Linked DNA regions of Mus musculus: all the other regions are reported to be linked to region 2. Evidence: microRNA targets listed by miRTarBase, many of them from high-throughput screens and not tested one by one. Region 2 holds a microRNA gene; each other region holds the end of a gene's coding sequence.
The links. The annotated mature microRNA mmu-miR-124-3p reads UAAGGCACGCGGUGAAUGCC and lies in region 2 at 2,300-2,319, opposite strand. An mRNA with a match to its seed (bases 2 to 7 or 8) in the 3' UTR can be bound and repressed. Matches are read on the target gene's strand: a 7mer-m8 pairs with bases 2 to 8, a 7mer-A1 pairs with bases 2 to 7 and ends in A, and an 8mer does both.

Region 1: the mRNA of Ppp1ca is a reported target of mmu-miR-124-3p. The part of its 3' UTR that is shown has no 7-base or 8-base seed match.
Region 3: the mRNA of Flnb is a reported target of mmu-miR-124-3p. Seed matches in the 3' UTR shown: 7mer-m8 at 572-578.

The regions. Positions count from the first base shown.
Region 1 is chr19:4,194,593-4,197,592 of GRCm38, reverse strand. It overlaps Ppp1ca (protein phosphatase 1 catalytic subunit alpha), which reads right to left. Exons shown (of 7, transcript NM_031868.2): 5 at 2,903-3,000; 6 at 2,687-2,821; 7 at 2,174-2,611. The coding sequence ends at 2,501. It overlaps Rad9a (RAD9 checkpoint clamp component A), which reads left to right. Exons shown (of 11, transcript NM_011237.2): 7 at 7-116; 8 at 190-254; 9 at 343-480; 10 at 1,211-1,412; 11 at 1,511-2,395. The coding sequence ends at 1,606. Among named protein-coding and RNA genes, the nearest start is that of Ppp1ca, 3.9 kb to the right of the region's middle.
Region 2 is chr3:17,791,844-17,798,041 of GRCm38, reverse strand. Mir124a-2 (microRNA 124a-2) reads right to left here and starts at 2,380; the gene lies at 2,272-2,380. It overlaps Mir124-2hg (Mir124-2 host gene (non-protein coding)), which reads right to left. Exons shown (of 3, transcript NR_033490.1): 2 at 3,029-3,449. It overlaps Gm51272 (predicted gene, 51272), which reads left to right and starts at 2,301; the gene lies at 2,301-2,357.
Region 3 is chr14:7,950,054-7,953,053 of GRCm38, forward strand. Flnb (filamin, beta) reads left to right here. Exons shown (of 46, transcript NM_134080.1): 46 at 252-1,535. The coding sequence ends at 439. Among named protein-coding and RNA genes, the nearest start is that of Gm45521, 5.7 kb to the right of the region's middle.

The DNA.
Region 1 (3,000 bases), not on the chromosome of region 2:
ACATAGACAGCACCAGCAAAGCCATGGTGACTGAGACCAGCATTGGGGATGAGGACTTCCAGCAGCTGCATGCCCCAGAAGGGATAGCTGTCACCTTCTGCCTCAAGGAATTTCGGGTGAGTTTACTATGGCTAGCACCTGGTCTTTGAACCAAACACAGGCTCTCACTACCTGCTTCTTCCATCCCAGGGGCTCCTGAGCTTTGCAGAGTCAGCGAATTTGCCTCTTACTATCCACTTCGATGTTCCAGGCAGGTAATTCCAGGCTTTTAGACTGGGGAGAGGCAGGGCTCTGGGATGCCCAGAGCAGGATAACCTAGCTTAACCCCTTTCTGTCACCCAGGCCAGTCATCTTTACTATTGAGGATTCCTTGCTGGATGCCCACTTTGTCTTGGCCACACTCTTAGAGCAAGACTCATGTTCCCAGGGCCCGTGTTCCCCAAAACCCCACCAGCCAGTGCCTCAGAAGCAGGCACACAGGTAAGTGTCTCACTTCCTCGCATTCCCTCTATTTCTACACACTCAGGTTGAGCTTGCTACTTGTAGCTTCTGCACCTCCCCCATACATGCTTCCTGTCAGGCCCAGCCTCAACAGGGCTTCCAGCCTTAATGGTCAGCTGTACTGAGACCCCTCCCATCCATAGAGGCATCCCCTAGGTCCTGCTGGCTTCCTTCTCTGGCTGAGGCCTCCCCTCTGAGCCTCTTTCCAGACTCGGAGAGAAAGGGCTGCTGGGAGGCAGGGAGCTGCCTGGTGCAGGAGAAGCAGGTGGCTGCGAGGGCAGGTGGGTTGGGAGGCTGGGCTCGTGTAGTAGAAACAGAGGAAGTTTGGTCTGGCTCTCGGCCCAGCACATCCCTGGGCTCTTGTGCTCTCCAGCTCCTGTCCCTTGGGAAGGTGAGGGGTTGGGCCCCACGTGGCCCTGTTCACAGGACTTGTTGCTTTCCTCCCCCAGCTGAGCTAAATTGGCCCCAGGATCCTCCCTCAGGCCCCTACCTGAACTCTGATCAAAAGGGTTCCAGTTCCACCCCCTCCAGGAAGCTCCCACTTAACCCCTGCATCCTATCCTCCCAGCCAAATCAGGAAGTAATAAAATCAAAAGCTAGCTCACCAGCAGTCTGGAGACCTCAAGCCCTCCTCAGAGCCCTCCAAAGTGGGGTTTGCCTCTGTATCCCTTTTTTCTCTGTACCATGTTGATATTATCTCTGCCTACAGCACACCCCACTTAGATGACTTTACCAGTGATGACATTGACTGTTACATGATTGCCATGGAAACCACTGGAGGCAATGAGGGCTCCGGGGCACAGCCTTCCACATCCCTCCCACCTGTCTCCCTGGCCTCCCATGACCTTGCCCCCACCTCAGAGGAGGAAGCTGAGCCCAGTACAGTGCCTGGGACTCCCCCACCCAAGAAGGTAAAAGCTGGATGTTGGGATAGGAACTGAGGGAGGGAGGGAAGGAAGGAAGGAAGCAGCTTCCAAGACTAACTGGGCTCTCTCTATTCTCTTTCCAGTTTCGTTCACTGTTCTTTGGCTCCATCCTGGCCCCTGTACACTCCCCGCAGGGTCCCAACCCTGTGCTGGCTGAAGACAGTGATGGTGAAGGGTGAATTTGAGAAATTAAAGTCTGTGTTCAAAGGCTCACGGACCAGAAGCAGGCCCGCCCACTGAGTTGGGCGTCAGTCCTTAGACATGGACATGGAAATGGAAAAAGGCATACCCCACTTGGCTGTCTGCTGCAGAGCTGCCTAGGAACCATGTTTGGTCTGTGTTCTGTATTTATTCAGCCTATACCAATCATGTCTCTGGTGCCCACCTGTCACCTGACAGATCCCTCATCCTTTACTTTGAGGCTCTAGAATACAAATTCTGGCCAAAGCCAGAAACTTAGCTTCCTCAGTCTCCTGCCTCTAAAACAGGAAGATCAGTATTGAACACCCTCTGCCAATCATGAACTCCCCGCCAGACCCTCCTGTGGGCCAAAGGAACTGTTTCTCTTTCCTAACACTTGGGCCTTGGCCTAGAATCCTAATAGCCTCTGGACCTGATTGTGTGTCACTGGTGTTGCCCTGGCTGGGCCCATGTTCAGCCACTCAGTCTGCCCTCCCAGGTGGCTTTGTACCAAAGAACTGCTGGCCCACTGTCTGGGACGGGACAAGAGAGACAGAGGCTATGGTGAGAATCCAGCTTTGACCTTTATTCAAGAGACCAGATGGGTTGCCCCAGGATCTGGCTGCCAGCCATGCAAGGCTGGAGACCCACAATCTGGTCTGCCATTGCCCTGAGCTGCAGCCTTGGCCCCAGGATTCCACTTGCAGCCACCACAGGTGCTGGTGGGAGGGAGCCCTGGGAGATTAGATGCTGCTATTGATTCTTTAAAAAATAAAGGAAAGACACTTAACGCTGTGTGTTCCCCGTGACGGGTGGGCCTGAGAGGCCAGTGTGACCCATGGCAGCATGATTTCTGTACAAACGATCTGGGGCAGAAGGGCAGCACATGGAGGCTATTTCTTGGCTTTGGCAGAATTGCGGGGTGGAGTGATGGGCCGGCCTCCGGGGTTCAGGCCGCTGAACTGCCCATACTTGCCCTTATTCTTATCAGCGGGCTTGAGGATCTGGAAGAGAAAACACTCATCAGGGTCCTGGGGTTGAGCCAGGCGTCTATTGGGCAGCCTCTTCCCCACACCCACCTGGAAGGAACACATGAGGGTCTCATCCACACTCATCATGGCACCAGCATTGTCAAACTCTCCACAGTAGTTGGGAGCTGAGAAGAGTGTCACCAACTGTCTCTTGGCAAAGAACTCATAGCCATCTTCTACAACCTGGGCCAGGGCAGGAACGGTTTAGTCTGTAAGTTAGGCACCCCACCCCCACCCCCAGCCCGCCCCAGGCCACCAGCCCACCTGATGTGCTCTGCAGATGAGGTCCAAATCATGCTTGTGCAGGAACTTGGCTACCACCTCAGCCCCAAAGGTAAAGGAGACACCACGGTCATTCTCGC
Region 2 (6,198 bases):
TTATTATGTAATATGAATTACACTGATGTAGCAGGACTGTTAGACCCTTTTTGCTTTGTGAGGAGCTCAGGGGATTGTGAGGAGAGACCACCAGAATAACTAGGTCGTTGCTGGAAGGAGGAGCATCCATGACAACCTTCAGCACTTCAAACCCATTCCCATTTCTGGTGAGTTTTTTTTTTTTTTTTTTTTTTTTTTTTTTTCAGCGACACAAGAGGGGGTTTCTTTGTGTTTGAGGTAGCTCTTGTCCCAACAAAGTGTGATATCGCCATCTCACCCCCCCCCCCAGATTGTGTAAAATCAAATGCAAACCTAAAATTTGTGGATATAAAGATCCTAATTTACAGAGTTTTAAAATCAGAAAACAAAACTAAAAGCCACCTTTTTAGGATGGAGTGAATAGGAACTAGACCCCCAAGAATATCATTTCTGAGCTCATTTTTTCCTGAATCATTGGCTACATTTCAACCATTCAGGTGGAAGAGAAGAAATAGTATAAAAACATATTTTTTAGGCCATTGTTCATTTATGGACCATTTCTATGCCCAGGTAAAAATCACTGTCACTGTGTCTCTTTACAGCTTTGTTTAGTTTATCTATGACTGATGTTTGACAGTATTTATGATGTGAATCTACAAAGAAATTCAAGCATGGAACATTTTCTTTCCTGGACCCACGGCTGAATACAAACCAATCTATTGTCTATTACTTTTTCCATTGCACATATGACTCAATATAGAAATTAATATTTTACTATTTATATACAATACTCTCAATATTTAAATTAGAATGCTGATAATTTTAAATATATGTTGAATGCATTAATTCAGACACATTTGACCCAGGACTCCTAAGACAAATCTTCATTATATGGGATTTGGTAAGCTACTCTGCCTCCCTAGTGAGCTGTGCTCTGCAGTATGGTTTTCTCTGCACTGTGGGATTCAGGCCTCCTAGGACTGCAGTACCTCCTGTGAGGAGCGAGGCTCACTGCCAGCTCCTGGGCACCATCACCCTGCCACTCTGTGGGCCTTGGCCTCAGAACTCAGTAAGGAAAGCTGTCCCACAGAAAGCCTTGCTGAGAGCCACGAGAGTGGTTGCAGGCTTCTCTACTCCTGCCTGCTCTGGTCACTAAATCAACCTCAGTCAGAACCTTTTAAATATATTTTGAGGCACACTCTAGGGTCCTTTGAGAGGTATCTTTGGTGACCATATCTGAGATAAGATCCTCAACTGAAAACCGTGTGTTTCTCTTTTCAAGATTGTGATTTAAGAGGAAAAAAAATCTATTTAATCTCTCTCTAGCACATTTTGTTAACTACTCGGGTTTCTGGCCAAATCAGCTGATTGTCAGAGTGGATGGTTTCAGCAAAATACTGTTTAGCCTGTCTTTCCGTATTTCAAGGTTTTTATTTGTAAGTTAACTAATATCCTGGGGTATGGGGCTGGGTTAGAGAAGAAGCGATTCTATAATTCTATTGCCTTGTTTGCAGAATTACCACAAGAGGAGGGGGAGGAGGTAATGGAGGAGGAAAAGAAAGAGGAAGAGGAAGATGATCCTGTCAGCAAGGCGAGGGTGCGGCCACTTTGGGTTATCCTTCTCCAGCCTCTCCTTTGTTCCCAGGCCAGATAGGCCACCACAGAACAAAGACTTCCACCAAGGCTCTTTCTCAGCGGTGGTTTTCTTAGGCTTTCGGGTTATGGAACCTACCTTAACTAAGTACCTCATGGTCTTCCAAATACATTAATTTACCAAGTCTTAGAGTTCCTGGCTTGGCCTTTCCCTCTTATTGGACAATATTGACTGATTTGGGTATTGTCACTTTGCCTTGGCCTTTTAAATCCAGTCAAGGCTACCATGAGACTGGGTAAAGAATGGGAGAATAGTGAAAAGCTTGGGGCGGGGGTCCTATTTTCACTGATAATTGAGTCATTTGAGGTTTCTTATGCAGTGTGGTCTGGGGTTTCTCATCCGTTTTGTTTTCCCAGTTCGACCCAGAATTTTATTTGGAAAAGGCCAGCACTCTCTGAGTGCCATCTCTTAGACCGTTTGCACCAATGGGAACTACAGCTCTCCTGACAGCTGTCAATGAAACCTCTAATATTCCCCTTGGGAGTATGCATGCGGATTTCCCAGATTCTCGCTGAAAAACATTTGACTGTCTTGTATTCTAAAGATTTTGAATCAATGCGAGGGGTCCTTGTGTCGCACAGGATGGGTTCATTCTAGAATTGTTTCTCCCCACCCTTCCTAACTTCTCTCGGATGTCCTTCAAGTGCAGCCGTAGGCTCCGCTCTTGGCATTCACCGCGTGCCTTAATTGTATGACATTAAATCAAGGTCCGCTGTGAACACGGAGAGCAGAGTCTCTGATCTTGATCTAGAAGCAAGTGACTCATTGCAACTATTACTATAATTTTCTCCCTGCCCTTCACCCTCTCTTGGAGCTCTAGGCTTGGAGTCCCTACTCCTAGAGTTGTAGCTCTGAGCAGTACTCCCACCTCAGCTTTCCTCCCGCCACATCTGTCAGAGTTGCCATTAATTAGTCTGCAAGGTTGAAGAGTAGCGGGTGCATGAGTCTGCGATTCTTATGCATACATCTGCATGCCATTTACAGCGCACCTAAAACCCATACATATGTCTATAAATCTAGTTTTCAAATGATGACATGGATCGAAGTTAATTACCCCTCTGGTACAGATCTAATTTCGTAATCGTGTTATTTTACTGAAGGCAATTAACTGAGTTGGTTCGCCCTGAATGCCGTCCTAAGACATTTGTAAGGAAAGGCAAGTCTTTAAGGACCACACCATGAGTGTTCTGCTGCAGAAACCTTTGTCACTCATCCCCTGTTGCCAGAGATCTAGCAGAAAAAGCGAATATAATCATGCATGTTTGTATGTCCGACAAACACACGTATACGCCTTTGATAGCCCGATTTTGGTTGGGAAATTTTGGGAAAAGATCAGAATCCCAGGCCGGCTGGGTCCTCCTTCTTTGTATTGCGGAAAAATTAACTCAACAGCACCTGCCGAGTCCCGGGAGAGCTGGGGCCCATCTGGTCTGGCTATGATTTTACTGCGAAGAGAAAAGGCTGCTTGCTCGGGCTTCCTCCGGCTCTGGAGAGCAGAGATCGGGTCTGAGCCCGCTCTGGGCGTAGATTTAAGGGCAGCGCAGCAGATGCGCTCTCTCTGACTGCGGCGGGAGTCAGGAGGAGATCCGAGTCTGGGCTCGGCGGAGGGAGGGCAAGATGGAAAGAAGAAGAATGAGGGGAGTTGACCTCTACGGGCGGAGCCCTCTGGACGGCAGGCCGGAGGCGGCAAGCAGCGGCTCTTTTCACAGCATCCCTTGCGGCTGGGTGGGCCAGGGGGATGGACGGACTGCGCTCGCCTGAAGAAAGCCAAAGGGCTCAAAAGCAGGTTTTGTGCGGAGACCCCAGAGCGCTCCCCCTGAAAAACAGAATCAAAGCGCAGAATTAGAGCAGGAGGGAGGAGGGGGAGACTGGAGAGGAGGGACAGGAGGAGGGAGGAATCACTCTAGGGAGCCAAGGTGACCGGCCGTCCGGACCTATAGAATCGAGCTCGGGGAGCCCCTGCAATGTGCGGGGCGACAGGGGAGTTCCCAACTCAATCCCGGCTTCGGAAGGTGAGAAGATGCAGTCAGGACGAGAGAAATGTTTTCCTGAGATGGAGTCTTGAAAGCGAGTCCTCAGATTGTCCTCTGTGCAGTCTCAGCGATTTGCGCATCCCGCGCGCCCTTACCCATCTAACCCCTCCCTCAGACCACACGCCAGAACCGCATTCTCCAATCTCCACCCCTTCTTGGTTTAGAATCCTGCAAACTGCAAGACTGAAGAGTTCTCGCATGAAAATCGAAATGATCGATGAAATAAAGAATTTCATATAGGCATAGCCCTAGAAATCCAAAGGCGAAAGAGCTGCTAGCTCTGCTCAAACCTGCAGAGGACCAAAGCGTTTTCAGGGGCTGCTCCGCGTGTTCTCGGAGGAAAGAGGAGGCTGAGTGGTTTCCGCGATATAAGGTGCTTTAGGATGGGCGGTGGGGGCAGGGAGGGGGTGGATCGTAGCGGTCCGGTCTTTCCCCCTCGCTTGCTGATCCAGAATTAGGGATTAATGGCTCGCTCCAGCCAAACAAATAAGGCATCTGCCTTCAGCACAAGAGGATTACACGGGCTGCTGACGTCACCAGTCAGACAGATGTTGGCTCCCAAAGTCCTGAACAGCTCGCTGTGTCCTTGAAACCAAAGAGCTGCAGAAGGCGCGCAGCCCCCAAGAGCTGCGCCTGGGCAAAGCAAAGGGCACCCTCCTTGCCCTTGCTTACACTCTCCTGCACGCACCACACTGGCCCCAATACAACTACCTAAGACAGAGCTCCTCAGTCTCTCTTGCCTTCTGCACAGCCCCCAGTCAAGGTCCAGGCTGGCTCAACACAAGTCAAAGTCACCACACTTGGCTTCTGTCTCCTAAAATAGAGACAGTACTACTTTCTCAATCCTCATCTAAAATCTGGCACGCACAGCCAACACCTCACCATGGACAGAGCTAAGCTCCAGATGAGCGACCACCTCTTCATTTTATGGTTAAGGCATATCTGCATCTTTCGTCCCCACCATTGTCCTTTCCCCAGGCCAAGGTCTAAATTTTTTATGCTTATTCTTATGAATGAAGACAGGCTGGAGCACCTTCCTAAACAATGACTCCCAAACTGTCTCTGCTTTCTACCAGAGCCCTGGGCCACCATTACAAGAACCACAAGAGCCCATTATGAAATGATCAGAATACCACCAAATTCCATTTAATATCCTTCTCAAATGCTTTTTAAATATTTAAATTTTTAAAATGCGGGTGTCAAAAACATATCTATCATCTATGCTAAGAAACAAGGACATTCAAAGAATTGCAGTTTCATTCTCTGGACAAGCACGATGGCTAAAGATCCGGAATTCATTGCCTTACAAATCTCAACGTCACTTGAATTTTATTTCAAATTTAAATGTAAATTGTTTTTTTTTAATTTTTCTAACCTGTGTGTTGTTAATGATTTATACGATCTTCCAGGCCTTTACAGGTCACAAAGAAGACTGGTTACAAAATAAGTCAGAAGTCACAGGGTTGAAAGTGAAAATTTAAGGGAGCAGTTATATAATCCACAAGAGAAATAATTGTGATGAATTTCACTTCTGAAAAGGTTAAGGTAATGAAACTCATGCAAAAAGCAATATAGTTATTTGACACAGAGCCACAGTGAACCAAACCTGTGCCCTAACCTGGATCAATATGTATGTGAAAGTCTGTTGTTTTCCTGGGGGTTAGGGTGAGTGTCCGTCTAACCAGTCACTGCACAGTTAGTTATGCACTATAGTGTCTGTCCAGAAATAAATGGGGGTATGGGAGTCATATCTCTATTCATATTATCCCTGTCTATCAAAGTGGCATTTAATTTTTCCAATTCTATGCATTTAGAAACCTAGTCACTGATAAAAATCTATTTAATTTGCTCTAGTGTCATTCAGCTAATCCCAGACAAAATATAAAATTTCTCTTTCTTTATTCAGCTGTATGTCCTATAACAAACATCCCATACCAAAATGAATGTATTTAAAACTGTAATTTACTAGTGACATAAGGTAGAAATGACCTTTAGTTTGATTTTTAAAAAGTCACATCCATGAGAAAGGACAGATGTTGAAGATATGAATTATCATTTCCTTAAAACGTGGTAGAATGCATACAGTATCCCTTAAATTCAAATTTTAGTTTTAAATTCAAGATTTATTCCAAATTGTTATAAAATAAAATTTTCGTTGCCTCCAACAGATGCTATGAAGGTAAAATTTCACACACAATTTTGCTGGAGTCGGTTTGCTTAATAACTAGTTCGCTGTCCATGGTTTTGATCCATATGAAGGAACAAGCTCCAGTGCTTTGGAAAATTTTAAGTCAATGTGTTTCTTCATTAATTTGACTTCTTAACTTTTTAAGATTATATAAAAGGAGGAGAATAGTATGTGAGCCCCATTTCTTCTTCATTCAGCTGTTTTCATTTTTTTTCTGTATTTCTCACCAAATGAAGTACCAGAATCAAATGGGGAGAGGGCTACATTTCATTATTTCTGAACTGACAAACGATCGCTCAATGCACCTATACAAAGATCTTTAATAAATAGGATATAAAATTTTC
Region 3 (3,000 bases), not on the chromosome of region 2:
TTGTGGCCTTCCTGGTTTGCAGTTTAGGTAGAGAGCTTTTCCTGTCTGAGGTCACCAAAGCAAAGGGTGTGAGGGCTGGCATGTGAGCCCAAATCAGGTTGTCTCTACTGATCATGGCCACGATTTGCCACCAGTGAAAGGACTCTGGTGCCATCATCCCAGCTCGGCCAGTTATCCCTCATCTCTCTACCTTTGTCACATCTCTGCTTGTCCTGATTGGTCAGGTCAGTAACAACCTCCTCTTCCCGCAGGGTCCAACATGCTGTTGATTGGGGTCCATGGGCCCACCACCCCCTGTGAAGAGGTCTCCATGAAGCATGTGGGCAAGCAACAGTACAACGTCACCTACGTCGTCAAGGAGAGGGGCGATTACGTTCTGGCTGTGAAGTGGGGGGAAGAGCACATCCCCGGTAGCCCCTTTCATGTCACCGTGCCTTAAAGCATCTGATAGCCAATGCTGGACGTGTCCCTTCCGGTTGCTTTTGTTGCTAGTTTGTAATTCATTTTTTACAATGTCCACAGCCTGCTGGTGGGCCAGCGTCCCCATCCCAAACCTTGCCGCTCACTCCAAGTGCCTTGGTGCCCTAGACTTGACTCGAGGTCATGTGGGACATCTTCAGAAAGCAAGCTGGGGCCAAAAAAGTGCAGAGCCCTCTGCCCAAATCAAGACTCTTAATTTCAAAGGTCATTGCAGACGGAACAAGAACATGGACAGGACTGACTGGCTCTCCTAAGCTTCTGGTCTACTCAAGCGATAACCAAACAAGAATGTCATTGCAGAAGGGGGTCCTGCACCCCACTTGCCAAAGAACAGTGCAACCCACTTTCCTCAAGACTAGACAACAAATAAGAAAGTCTGACCCAGATTATACTCCATGCCTGGGCTTCGTCTTGGGGCCCTGATCACTTTGACTTCATCCTAAAGCCAGCTCTGGAGCAGAAGGCATGCAGAACACTCCATACCCCATTTTTGGAATTCTGTACCTGCCTACTTCTTTATTAACAGCCTTGAAGGCATGTGCTCATGGCCAAATGCAGGGCCTCTGCCAGCTGCCCCCAGAGTTCATTGCGGCTGCTAAATGGCAGAGACCACTGATAAATTATTTCAGGACCTCCTCCTTGCAAAAGCTGGAAGGGATGGGTACCCCTCTTATGACCCATGAGAGGCCTTAATGACCAAGACACTAGCACGTGCACCCACCTGAGGTCTCTAAAGGTTTTGGTGTAAGCATTGTCAGGCTGTCAAATGGCTGGAGCGAGTGTTACACACACACACACACACACACACACACACACACACACACACACACACAATGGGGTGTGGTGGTTCTCATGAATGTGGCAGGGGTGGAGTAGGTGTCCCGCACCAAGGCACAGCAGCTGGAGAGGTGTGGGTGCTAAAAGCCACCTGTTAGGACCTGGAGCAGCTGAAGCCGGATGTGAAAGGCGGAATAGACACGGAGACCGAACTGGAATCAAATGCCGACTATAAAGTGTATCTTATAACTTATTAAATAAAATGTTTGCTCCATAAACGCTCCCTGTCATTCTTGGAGTGGAATCAGTGGTGTGGGCCTCTGATCACTCCCCACCCACCATCTCTTTGAGTGCAGATGTTATTTAACAATGGGCCAGTCCTTTTCTTGCAAAGGGTGGTCCTTTTCTGAGAAGCCAGGGCCAACCTCAGGCAAGGGACTCAAGAGAACATGCGGGCCATGATACCATCGTGACTTCTTAGGAACCCTAGATATGGAGCCCAGGTAGAGGCAATGGCTTTTAATTAAGCAGGCCTCTTGCCTGATACCATCAGGAATCTGTGTTCTGGGAAATGTTCTCAGATAGGATCTCTCACATGCCCCTGCACCCTTCGACCCAGTACTGAGTGCCTCCACCTGCCCTCCCGAGGAGAAACGATTGCTGATGTTAACCCTCCAGCTATGAATCCTTATAGTGGTCGGGTGACGGTTTACATATGACAGAACAAACATGGGTACAGTTTCCACCAGGCATACAGCCCAGACCTCATATGGGGATAGAGTTGGGCATATACCTTCTGACTAAGAATGAGTGTTCTTACACATCACACTACAGGCAAGCAGCTCGGAGGAGAAGGGTTACCAGAGTCCTAGAAAAGCTGGCAGTACCCATGGAGGCGGAAAGGCCTCCAGGCCGGGAGGAGTGTGGGGATCAGAGGTTCAGGCAGGGAACCTGCATCATTTTTAGTGATGGTATGTATATGTATGTGACAGGGTCTCTTGTATCCCGGGCTAGCCTGGGACTCTCCCTGTAGCCAACTAGGACCTTGAGCTTTTTTTAAAGTGTATACTGTGCTGAGATCAAGCCCTGGACTCTGTACATTGTAGGCAAGCAGTCTCCAACTGCATCCCCTGCTCTGCTTTCTCTATTGTATTCTGGCTTTGTTTTTCCCCTTACCTGGCTACATATTAGAATGATAATCTGTTTACCTCTGAGCTTGGAGGAAGGTAAGGCAGATGCGCCCTTTCGTCTCTGCGCCTTGAAACCCTCGCCTAGACTCCTGGGCTCTGTAGGGCTGGGGACTCCCTGAAGAGTCCTCACATAACATGTCTGGCGCGATGCTGGCTTTGCCAGAGAAGCCCAGGGGATTCATCAACCCCTCCAACCCAGTTAGGTTTGCTGGAGGAGGCAGCGTTTGTACACTAAACATTGACTTTGGTGTAAGGTGTCCTAACGTCTAAACACTGAGTCCTAACCGGCCGAGTCGAGTCTGGCTGGCGGGGGAGGGGGAGATTCCCACGAATTCCCACTGGTATTTTTAGGAACAGTCCTTTGCTTGTTACTTTCTACGGACACCCTCTGTCAGAGTGTGTGTGAGCTGGCTGGTGATTGGCACCCAGTAGGTGATAATAGTTTTACCTTTGAGGTGCAGCCCCGCAATTGCTGCCTGTGACATCAGGGCCTGTGGGGTGGAGACCTGTTGCTCTCAGTGCCTAGAACCAGAGGGCAGCTCTTATCTGCACC